Linked DNA regions of Callithrix jacchus. The protein of the gene in region 1 purifies or fractionates together with the protein of each later gene. This does not show direct contact. Links are inferred from orthologs where the notes say so. Each region holds a gene or a part of one and is shown on either strand. Other genes may lie near its edges.

Region 1 (6,049 bases):
TCACCGCAACCTCTGCCTACTGAGTTCAAGTGATTCTCCTGCCTCTGCCTCCCAAGTAGCTGGGGTTATAGGCAAGCACCACCACACCTTGCTAATTTTTGTATTTTTTGTAGAGATGAGGTTTCACCATTTTGGCCAGGCTGGTCTCGAATTCCTGACCTCGGATGATCCGACCCCACCTTGGTCTCCCAAAGTGCTGGGATTACAGGTGTGAGCCACTGTGCCCAGCCTTATTTTTCTTTTTAGATAGGGTCTCACTTGGTCACCCAGGCTGGAGTGCAGTGGTGCAATCTCAGCTCACTACAGCCCTGACCTCCCCGCTGGGCTAATGCGATTCTCCCATTTCACCTTCCTGAGTACCTAGGGCTACAGGTGAGGGCCACCATGCTTGGCTAATTTTTGTATTTTTTATAAAAATGGTGTTTTGCCCTGTTGCCCAGGCTGGTTTCAAATTCCTGAGCTCAGGCAATCCACCTACCTCAGCCTCCCAAAGTGCTGGGATTCCAGGCATGTGCCACCATGCCTGGCTGAGAAAGTTTCTTTCTGTTCTTAGTAGCTTTTTTTTTTTTTTTTCATAAAGTTATGTTGGATTTTGTCAAATGCAATTTCTGCACCTTTTGAAATGATTGTTTTAGTTCTTTATCTAATTGTGTATTATGTTGATTAATTTTGTATGTTGAACCAACCTTGCATTCTTGGAATAAATCCCACTTGGTCAAAGTATAATCTTTTTGTGTATGTTAAGTGATATTGGTCTGTAGTTTCTTATATTATCTTTGTCTGGCTTTGGTGTCAGGGCAATACAGGGATATGTTTTAATATGTAATAAATTTAAACCTTTCTTGTCCCCAACAGAAAATGATCCACAGTCTATTTCTCATCAACTGTTCCGGTGACATATTTCTAGAGAAGCACTGGAAGAGCGTTGTGAGCCAGTCTGTCTGTGATTATTTCTTTGAAGCTCAGGAGAAAGCTGCTGATGTTGAAAATGTACCACCTGTCATTTCAACACCTCACCACTACCTCATCAGTATCTACCGGGATAAGCTCTTCTTTGTATCTGTCATACAGACTGAAGTGCCACCTCTGTTTGTAATTGAGTTCCTACATCGAGTTGCTGACACTTTCCAGGTTGGTTATCTATCACACCTTTCTAACTTAAATTACCCAAGTTAGTTGGAGGTGAGACATGATTATATTATTTAATTACCCAGGTTTTGGTGTTTACTGTCTCTCTGTAACTAAGCATAAATTTATAAACCCATTTCTATGTGGTAGACAATGGCACACATGGCTGCTCTATTAATGATTTTTTTATGTATTTCAAATTACAGTTGACTCTCCATATATGTGGGTTCTGCATCCATGAATTCACCCAACTTTACATGGAAAATATTTAAACAAAAAAAATGGAACTGAACATGTACAGACTTTTCCTCATTATTACTTAAACAATACAGTATAACAACTAGTTACATAGCATTTACATTGTATTAGATATTACAAGTAATCTAGAGGTGATTTAAAGCATATAGGAGGATGTGTATAAGTTGTGTATAAATAGTATGCCATTTTATGTCAGGGACTTGAGAATTGTGAGTTTTGGTATCCACAGGGGATCCTAGAACTAATTCCCCACACATACCAAGGAATGACTGTATATGATCAGGAAACAATAAAGCCCTCCACATAGAGTTTTCTGAATGGTCTCAAGATTTTCATTGGTAATGAATTCTTCTATATTTACATTTTATTATTTTCTCTTGTCTTGCTGAATATACCAAATAATTTAAGCATTTCCATATGTATTTTGGGATAATCAAGATGAAGTTTATAGCTCACATTCCAGTTTAATGTTTCAATATTTTCTGGTATAAAATGAATTGAATTAAATTCAATCTAAAAATACTAAGAAAATATTGAGGAATAATGTTAGGACTATAGAGAGATTTTTTTTGGTTTGCTTGTTTTGTTTTGTTTTTGAGACAGAGTCTCACTCTGTCATCCAGGCTAGATCTCTCTGCCCAGTGGAGATGATCTTAGCAGCTCATTGCAACCTCCACCTCTTGGGTTCAAGCAATCCTTCCACCTCAGCCTCCTGAGTAACTGGGATTACAGGCATGTGTCACTATGCTCAGTAGATTTTTGTATTTTTAGTAGAGACGGGGTTTCGTGGTGTTGGCCAGGCTGGTCTCAAACTTCTGACCTCAAGTAATCTACCTGCCTCAGCCTCCCAAAGTGCTGAAATTGCAGGCATGAGCCACAGTGCCTGACCTATAGAGGGTTTCCCCCACTCTGTTTTACATATGTTCAGCATCTTAAGCGATGAATTTTGCTACTGTAAGTTTATTCTTCAGAACAAAAAGTATTTAGAAAGCCTTTCTTTGTGCCTTCCCTTGTGTGATATTTTGTGTGTATTTTGTAAGGACTACTTTGGTGAGTGTTCAGAGGCTGCAATTAAGGATAATGTGGTCATAGTATATGAACTCTTGGAAGAAATGTTAGACAATGGATTTCCACTGGCTACCGAATCCAACATTTTGAAAGAATTGATTAAACCACCAACAATTTTACGCTCGGTGGTCAACTCTATTACAGGTAAGATGAAAACATACTTGACTAGTAACTGAGCTATTAAAACTTTGTAAACAACTCATTGTTGCTCATGATCTGACATATTATTAAAGTAGTCCAGTTCGGCCAGAATTAAAGTTACTGGTAAAGTTAAAATGGATGTACTATATATTTATATTCATGGAAAGAGGCTTAAGTGATAAAAGAACTTTTGGTTATTACTCTTTTTTGTTTTGTTTTGTTTTTTCTTAAAAAACCACAACAATATTATTAGTATCATTTAACACTAAATACTAAGACTGAATAAATTATTCCACTTAGTCTTAAAGAAGCCAGTATATGAGCCCACTTAGAAGAGCATTTAGTCCATTTATAGACTGGCATTTCAGTATTTAAAATAGCATTACATAACTGTTATGCTGCTACTCCACAATTACTAGAGAACAGAAGATTTAAGATTCTTACCTACACAGTATGTGTGTACAGTGTCCTTCAAGTCTTTGTTTTTATGCATGCAGAAGATGTATTAAGAAAAAATAGGAAAATAGTTTACTTATGAGATATCATGCATTGTGGGCCTGTACTTGTGTTGTAAGCTTCCAGTTGCATTTAATTCTTAAGGGTAGCTAGAAGTTAGGCACATCCAGATGCCAATATTCTTTCGAAAGCATTAAAGTCTTTTAGAGAAAGATTCCTATGAAATGTTATATGCCACTCCAACTCCACTGCCCACCATTGAAAACCCGTCTCCAGTGCCTTGACCTAAAACTGATGTGAGAGAGGCCTATAAGAAAAAGATCATTCAGCAGCTCTTTAATCATCCTCTGTATAAGGGGGAGTGTTAGGACAAACTGAAAGAAAGGTAAGGTAGAGTGTCTGTGCTCCTTAAACTTATACTCTAAATGGGATTTGGAAAAAAATTAAAATTAGCAAATAACTATAAAATTTTAAAAAGCAATTACATACTTCACAGATAATATAGTAACATTGGAAAATACACATGATATAATGTTAAATTGAAGTCAGCACAAACTGAAAAAAATTATTTTTAGTTATATTCACTAAAAACATTCCAAATATTTATTTTATTTATTTATTTTTTTTGAGACGGAGTTTTCACTCTTGTTACCCAGGCTGGAGTGCAATGGCGCAATCTCAGCTCACCACAACCTCCACCTCCTGGGTTCAGGCAATGCTTCTGCCTCAGCCTCCTGAGTAGCTGGGATTACAGGCACGTGCCACCATGCCCAGCTAATTTTTTGTATTTTTAGTAGAGACGGGGTTTCACCATGTTGACCAGGATGGTCTCCATCTCTTGACCTCGGGATCCACCCGCCTCAGCCTCCCAAAGTGCTGGGATTACAAATGATTATGCCAGCCAAAAAAATACAGATTATCTTTATTTTTGCTTTATGATTTAATTTTCCAAAATAAACATGTATAGTCAGAGGAAAGTTACTAAAATATAGAATGCAAAACTTAACATAGATTCATAAGGCAGTATATTATGAAGTTCAAGAGAATGGTTCAGTTAATGAAGTAATCCCTCCTGAACTGTGGTGGGTAGCCACCTTAGAGAATCAGTAGAATTGAGGAAGTGGAGTAGGAATAAGAGCATTCTCCATAGACGTAACTGTATTTGAAAAAACACACATGAAGTGAAAAACCTCAAGTTTTATTAATCTCTTTAGCAGAAGCAGAGCTGTTTTTCAGTTGAGAAGTTAGAGATCAAACTAAAAGTTGAGAAACTCCTTCAATGCTAGGCTAAATATTTAGCTTTTATCATAAAGCCAATGAGCAAACATTGAAGGTTTTTGAGCAGGAAGACAACATCATTATAGGTTGCAGGTAGGAACACCAATCATAACTAGACTGCAAAATTGTAGATAAAGTATGATTGTGACTATATTTTAAAGTGCAATTAAAAACTAAAATTATCAAAATAGAAAAAAAATGCAACCTTCTGGTGGTGGAAATGTTTAAAGAAATATACCAAAATGTTAATGTTATATTGAAATATTAATACCGTAATATTAACCAAAATGGGGCCAGGCGCGGTGGCTCAAGCCTGTAATCCTAGCACTTTGGGAGGCCGAGGCGGGTGGATCACGAGGTCAAGAGATCGAGACCATCCTGGTCAACATGGTGAAACCCCATCTCTACTAAAAATACAAAAAATTAGCTGGGCATGGTGGCGCGTGCCTGTAATCCCAGCTACTCAGGAGGCTGAGGCAGGAGAATTGCCTGAACCCAGGAGGCGGAGGTTGCGGTGAGCCGAGATTGCGCCATTGCACTCCAGCCTGGGTAACAAGAGCAAAACTCCGTCTCGGGAAAAAAAAAAATATATTAACCAAAATGTTAATGGTAGTTGTATTTTGTTAGTAAGAAGACAGATGTTTTTCTTTAAACCATCTTTCTGAATTCCACCTTTTTGTTTTGTTAAGTATGTGGTACTTTTGAACTGGCAATATAAATTAACCAAAATGTTAAGTAAGTCACAGCTCAAAGATACATGTTTTGGACAACCAGACTTATTTTTAGACATGTGTCAGTTTACCAGGAAATTAGCCAGACACTGAACACTAGCTATATTGCAGCCATATGGGTATGCTGACCTTAAAATGGGAAAAGGCCAGATTCCATTTACTCCACTGAGGCCTGCTTGGCAGCATCTCGTGTAAAATAAAGTTGAATACTGAAGGGCCTAGTTATAACTCTGTATTCTCAGTGGAGACATTTTACTGGCAGAAGGTTTTGAAACAACCAGCCTCTTTTTTCATCAGTGGCAGAGATTCTGCTGTTGAGCCACTGAAATTAGATTAGGTTACTGTTAACACAGGAGGCAAAAGATAAGTAAATAAATTTAACCTGATTTGGCAGGTAGACAGAGGGCTACATGGCCTATTTTTCTCTTCTAGAAATTTGATCATGTTGGTATGGGTATATCTGACAATTCTAGAGACCATCCACAACTTTATTAAGAAAAATCCAAACACTGAAGAAGCAGCTTTTTCTTCCCCAGTAATGAATTTTCTGATGACTGTTTCACACATCAGCTTTGCTTTCTCCTTTTTTGGTTTCTAGGCAGTAGTAATGTTGGGGACACACTCCCCACTGGGCAGCTGTCCAACATTCCATGGCGCCGGGCAGGGGTAAAGTACACAAACAATGAAGCCTATTTTGATGTCGTTGAAGAAATAGATGCAATTATAGATAAATCAGGTAACTGTGTGCATGTGGTCTTATTTGGGGAAAAATAATTCAGTTGACACAGATGAATAGAAAATTAAAGTCCTGGCTGGCACAGTGGCTTACCCTGTAATCCTAGCACTTTGGGAGGCCGAAGCAGGCAAAACACGAGGTCAAGAATTTGAGACCAACCAGGCCAACATGGCGAACCCCTGTCTCTACTAAAGATACAAAAATAGCTGTGTGTGGTGGCATGTGCCTGTAATCCCAGCTATTCAGGAAGCTG
Region 2 (6,049 bases), on another chromosome or scaffold:
TACTTTGAGAAGACACCCATACCAGGGTTAAGCACGCCACCTGCCACGGGGTACACACTCAGCACACATGAGCAGCTCAAGCCGGAGGACAGCTTGTAGAACCTGGGTGGCCATGCTCTGGGCCTCTGCCCACCTTTGCCAATGGTGGGAACCCTGCCTGCCCTCCTAGCCTGCAGCACCATCACCAAGGACTGACCAAAAGCACCCAAGGGAGAGCCCTTTGGAGGGTGTTGCACACAGATGCCAGGAGAACCACCCATGGAGCTCACAGGAAAGCCCTCTGGTGGAGGTGGCATACAGATGGCCAGCAGGAGAGCCCTTGGGGAGGGTGTGACACATGGACTGCCAGAGAACCAGAATGGAGCTGGTGTCCCACCCAGGGCAGGAGTCCAGTTCAGGCACACACACCAGCCTCACCTGGGTGAGCAGGGGTGCTCTCTCCTTCCAGCTTCTGTCTGTTAAGCAGGCCAGCCTGGGGGGTGGAAAGTGGCTTTTCCCAAATGAAGCTAAGTGTGGACGCAGAGTGGCCTCCATAGCACCTCCCACCGCTGCCACGGGAATGGCCTGGAGGGAGCTGCAGGCACCTGGGCTGCTGTGTGTGGAGTGGGCAGGAGGGGTCACAGGACTCCAGCCAGCCTAGGGAGACATGCCTTCACAGCCGTGAGAGGCAGGAGATGCCAGAGGACAGAGGGGGCCTGCTGAGGAGGCTGGAGGTGCCCCTGGGCCAGCCTTGGTGAGGGGACCAGTTTAAATGACTGTGAATAAAAGAAAATCAAGTTAGAAACACAGGACATTGCGTTTTTCACCCACTTGTGTTGGCTTCTGTCAGTTGTGGGGAAGTTTTGTCACTTGAAGCACTAGTAATTTCTTCACAAGCCATTTGGAAAACCATGCAGTTGAGACTGGCAGCTCACACCAGGCAGATTCTAGAGATTTGCCGTCCGTGCTGGGACATGTCTGCCAAAGACAAGGCTCTCAAACAGTCCGCTTAGACAACTCTATTCCGGGGTGCTGTTACAGCTTCAGGCAGAGCCTGGATATGGATGTCCTGCATCTAACACGGTGTAGCGCCTGAAGCCAAGCCAGCTCCGGAGGTGTCCGGAGGAATTTCAGTATTTGCTGTGTAACCTCGTCAGCTCACCAAGATGGCCGTGCAAGCGGCCAAGAGGGCGAACATTCAACTCCACCTGAAGTAAGTCGGATATTGTACATAAGAAATTTGCCGCACAGAATCACAGCTGAAGAAACGTTGAATGTATTTGGGAAATAAGGACCTATGCGTCAAATCAGAGTGGGGAGCACACCTGAAACCAGAGGAACAGTTTATATGGTCTGTGAGGACATCTTTGATGCCAGGAGTGCGTGTGATCGCCTCTGGGGATTCAGTGTTTGAGCAGATGCCTTGTGATTTTGTGCTATGATGCCAACAGGGCATTTCAGAAGATGGACGCAAAGGAGGAGGGACAGCTGAAGCTTCTCAAAGAGAAATATGGCATCAATGCAGATCCACCAAAATAAATGTTTTCTACCTTTTCATTTTGGACTAAAACCCATGATTGACAACTACCACCTTTTCCTTTCTTTCCTTTTTAATTATAGTAAATACTGTGATTTCTTGTTTGAGGTTCAAAATGATGTGCTTGAAACTTGGATACATATTAGAATACGTGATGTTAATAAACTTGTTGCTTTTTGTGGGGGGAAAAAAAGCCTGCTTGACTGGCCACAGCAGGGGCACCCCGGGCTGCTGTCCTCAGCCACCCTGGTGGGCAGGGACCCTGGAGGAGCAGCCACGGGGCTGGGCTGATGCCGAGGGGCACACGGGACAGGGCAGGATGAGGGTGGATGCAGGCGAAGCCTGAGGCGATTTTATAAGGATGCAGACATAGGGTGCTCCAGGTAAGGCAGGGGTGCTCCTTTGTGGGTGCAGTCAAGTGCGTGCCATCTGGGAGAGGATGGGCAGGGACAGTGTGGGGGTGCTCCTCTGTGGAGCGCTGTCCAGTGTATGTTCAAGGAGCAGAGATGGGCAGGGCTGTAGGCTGGGAGGGTGCAGAGGCACCCACAGCACTTCCTCTAGCTCTGCAGGCATGCAGCCTGCTCCTGCTGGTCAGGTGTTAGGAATGAAAAGCAGCTGCCATCTTGAGGCCTGCACGCACAGCAGCTTCCCAGGGAGGGACAGGGCGTCGAGGGGCTGAAACTAAGCCAGGTCCTCACCTGTTCTCCAAGGACCTTCAATTACATTCTCCGGGAGCTTCCAAAAGTGCCCACCCACGTGCCGGTGTGTGTGCTGGGGAACTACCGGGACATGGGCGAGCACCGAGTCATCCTACCAGACGACGTGCGTGACTTCATTGACAACCTGGACAGGTGAGCGTAGGGGAGGTGCTGAGGCAGAAGCCTTGGGAGGGGCTTGGGAGATGTTAGCGTTATCATGGGGGCTGGGGGACATGAAGAGTTGCGCTGCTGCGTGGGGCTCCCTGAAGCCTGGGTCTCCCAGACAGCAGTGCCTGGGAACTCTGCCAGGGTGAGGTGCTGGTACTGGGGTTCCCCTGCAGAATGGCACTCAGCTTAGCTGCTCAGGAGGCTCAGCAGGGTCCTGTGGCCTCAGGAGCCTCCAGGAGGAGGGAGGGCAGTGCAGACCAGCAGCTGTGGGCCCAGGGGTGGTCCTTGGCACGGGGGGCAAGGTTTCTCTTGCATGTGTCTTCCTTCCTGAAAGTAGACCTCCAGGTTCCTCCTACTTCCGCTACGCTGAGTCTTCCATGAAGAACAGCTTTGGCCTAAAGTACCTTCATAAGTTCTTCAACATCCCCTTCTTGCAGCTTCAGGTAAGCACTCACCATGCAGGCAGAGTGGGCACTGGTCTTGCCTCTTCCTGCTGTGTCTCCTATAGCAACAGGGCTCCCTCCTCACCCAAGAGATCGGTGGGCCTGCTTGGGTTAGCTGCTGGTCAGGGCCCAGCATCCTACTGTGCCTGCCTGCCCAGGTGGCAGACGGTGCAGGTCCTGAGGGCTGGGCCCCATCCCAGAAGCCCCTCCACCTCTGCAGGGACCCCTTGCTCAGTTTCCCTCTGTGGTTTTGGTCATTTTTGTGTGTTGAGATAAGGTTTTGCTGTGTGGCCCAGGCCGGCGTGCAGTGGTGCAGTCGTGGCTCACTGCAGCCTCAACTCCTGGGCACAAGCTATTCTCCCACCTCAGTCTCCCAAGGTGCTGAGCTCACCTTTCCTTGCTGCTCACAGCTCACATTTCCTCTTTAAATTTTGTTTTAATTAATTTGTTTTTTTTGAGATGGAGTCTTGCTCTGTTGCCAGGCTGGAGTGCAGTGGCGCAATCTCGGCTCGCTGCAACCTCCACTTCCTGGTTGCAAACAATTCTTCCACCTCAGCCTCCCAAGTAGCTGAGACCACAGGCCCGGCTAATTTTTGTATGTTTAGTAGAGACGGGGTTTCACTATGTTGGCCAGGATGATCTCGCTCTCTTGACCTTGTGATCCGCCCACCTCAGCCTCCCAAAGTGCTAGGATTATAGGATTGAGCCACCACGCCTGCCCCACAGCTCACATTTCCGTGGTGCTTGTGTCAAAACCAAGGGGCCAACTTTGGTCTATAGACTAAACTCCATTTCCCTCGTGGAAACAAGGGGCCAAGGCCAGCTCTGGCTGCAAAGTAGCCCAGCAAACGATGGGTCTGAGGACTTGGACCTTCTCACCCTGGCCTGCCCCAACTGGGTCTGGGGGACCTGGACCTCCTCGCCCTGGCCTGCCCTGACTGGGTATGGGGGACATGGGACCCAGCCGAAGCTGCAGCAGACTTGGTCTTTCTCCAGGACTTCATGATTGCCCAGGAAAGGGGCTGTGCTATCCTTCCGGTGTCAGAAGAAGTGGGGACACTGCAGGTTGGGAATGCTTCTGGGGACGTTTGGGTGGAAGGAAGGCCGGCAGTCAGGCTTACCCGGTGTCAGCACTGCAGAGCTGTCCCCTCGTCAGTGGGTGGTTACGCCTTAGAGAGCCTCTCACTGCTCAGCTGCTCCATTCCCTAAAGGGTTTGCCCTCCAAACACTTCCAAAGCCTCTGAGGGAGAGAACGAGACCCTGGACAGAGTCTTGAGCTGGAAGCGTAGGGCAAGCTGTGTGACTGTCCTTTTGCTGTGGATGTGTTCATACACATGTGACAGCCCCTCCGGTCTCAGCAGCGGGACCCCGTTTCCTCTGTCTTGCTCCTGAATGGCCTGGAAGCAAATTTCAAGTCTTATGTCACCTAAAAATATTTCAAACATCTCTAAAAACTGTTCTCTTTTTTTAACCTGACCATAGTGCCTAATTTAACACCTCACATTCAAGTCACAGAAGACTTTTCTTAGAGAAATAAAATTCCCAAAGAGTTCAGTATTCAGAGCAGGATCCAGAGTTCACACGTTAGTTACAGTTGGTTGACGAGTCTGTAGTTTTCTCTTTGTAAATCACATTTTTGTTATAGTAGCCATTTTTAGGGATCTTACTGACTTTAATATCTTTTTTTTGTTTGAGACAGAGTCTCGCTCTGTTGCCCAGGCTGGAGTGCAGTGGTGCGATCTCAGCTAACCGCAACCTCTGTCTCCCAGGCCCCAAGCGATTCTCCTGACTCAGCCTCCTGAGTAGCTGGGACCACAGGCGTGTGCCACCACACTTGGCTAATTTTTGTATTTTCAGTAGAGACAGGGTTTCTCCATGTTAGTCTAGTTTCAAACTCCTAACCTCGTGATCTGCCCGCCTCAGCCTCCCAAAGTGCTGAGGTTACAGGCATAACACCATGCCTGGCAAACTACAAAACATTTTTAAAAATTAGCCAGGCATGTCCGGGGGTGGTGGCTCACATCTGTAATCCCAGCACTTTGGGAGGCTGAGGCGGGCGGATCACCTGAGGGCAGGAGTTTGAGACCAGCCTGACCAATACGGTGAAACCCCAGTCTTTAAAAATAAAAAAAAATATTAGCCAGGCATGGTGACACATTCATGTGGTCCCAGCTACTCTGGAAGCTGAGGTAGGGAAGGGAACCCAGGAGGTTCAGGCTGTGGGGAGCCCACATCATGCCACTGCATTCCAGCCTGGGTGATGGCATGAGACCCTGTCTGAATAAAATAAAACCCACACCATCTCAAGTCTCTCTTAGCCTGCAGATGCACCTGCTTTTTCTGTCTAGTTGATTTGCTCTGTCGTATATGCTCCCTGGTGTCCAGCCAGCAGACCTTCCATGGCCACAAGAAGACACAGCCCTGTTCAGTCCCCAGGTGCCTCCTGCGTGGGACTCAGGTGCTTGAGATGTGGCTGTTGCAGGTGTTTATTTAATTTGAATCTAAAGTTAGCAGCAACGTGAACCCACAGCTCATCAGACCGGCCTGGGGTTCCAGGCCAGGTGGGCTGTGGTTTGCTGCACAGCCCAGCTGCTGGTGGGAGTGGGGGTGATGGCACGGACGCCGGGGCTAAGTCCTGCCCCCAGAGGAGATTTGCGAATCTGGGAGCAGAGAGGCTGTTTTCCAGGTGAAGGTGGGGCTTCTGCACCCTCGCAAGCACATGTATGGGTAAAGGTGCTTCTGTTGGGGTTTGTGCCTGTGGTTGGCATCTGTGCCCTGAGGTAGCATAGGTGTCATGCTGGCCACTGTGAAGGAGTCCTGCGGGCTTCTGTGGTTCCAGTGAGGCCCAGCTCAGAGCTCCATGAGGTGCTGAGCAGCCAGCCCTGCCCCATCTCCTGGTTTCAGCAGGTGGTGCCCCCGATGCCTTCGGCTGCTGTCGGGCTGGGGTGCTCACATCAGGAAGGGTCCCTGCTCAGGCCTATGTGCTTCTCTTCTGCAGAGGGAGACGCTGCTGCGGCAGCTGGAGACAAACCAGCTGGACATGGACGCCACACTAGAGGAGCTGTCGGTGCAGCAGGAGACGGAGGACCAGAATTACAGCATGTGCGTGGCTGGGCCCAACGGTGGGGGCAGTGTGAGGGCTGCAGGCATAGACATGGTGCCAGGCCTGGCCTGCTCCAGGACAGCAGAGGGGAGTGCCCTGTTTGGGGTAAATCAGTCATCTT

What was found. Proteins that work in one complex are often made in the same cells at the same time.
Region 2: the proteins of AP3M1 (region 1) and RABL6 purify together in Homo sapiens (co-immunoprecipitation; 3 studies listed by BioGRID and IntAct, counting the BioPlex papers as one, with this or other methods). This does not show direct contact. The link is inferred for Callithrix jacchus from reciprocal best matches to the Homo sapiens genes AP3M1 and RABL6.

Annotation. Positions count from the first base shown.
Region 1 is NC_133513.1:56,071,925-56,077,973, forward strand, and holds part of AP3M1 (AP-3 complex subunit mu-1), read left to right. Parts: intron 1-855; coding exon 856-1,131; intron 1,132-2,426; coding exon 2,427-2,598; intron 2,599-5,658; coding exon 5,659-5,796; intron 5,797-6,049. UniProt on the Homo sapiens protein: Part of the AP-3 complex, an adaptor-related complex which is not clathrin-associated. The complex is associated with the Golgi region as well as more peripheral structures.
Region 2 is NC_133502.1:185,265,960-185,272,008, forward strand, and holds part of RABL6 (rab-like protein 6), read left to right. Parts: intron 1-1,009; exon of another isoform or gene 1,010-1,709; intron 1,710-2,226; coding exon 2,227-2,367; intron 2,368-2,716; coding exon 2,717-2,825; intron 2,826-3,821; coding exon 3,822-3,890; intron 3,891-5,823; coding exon 5,824-5,927; intron 5,928-6,049. UniProt on the Homo sapiens protein: May enhance cellular proliferation. May reduce growth inhibitory activity of CDKN2A.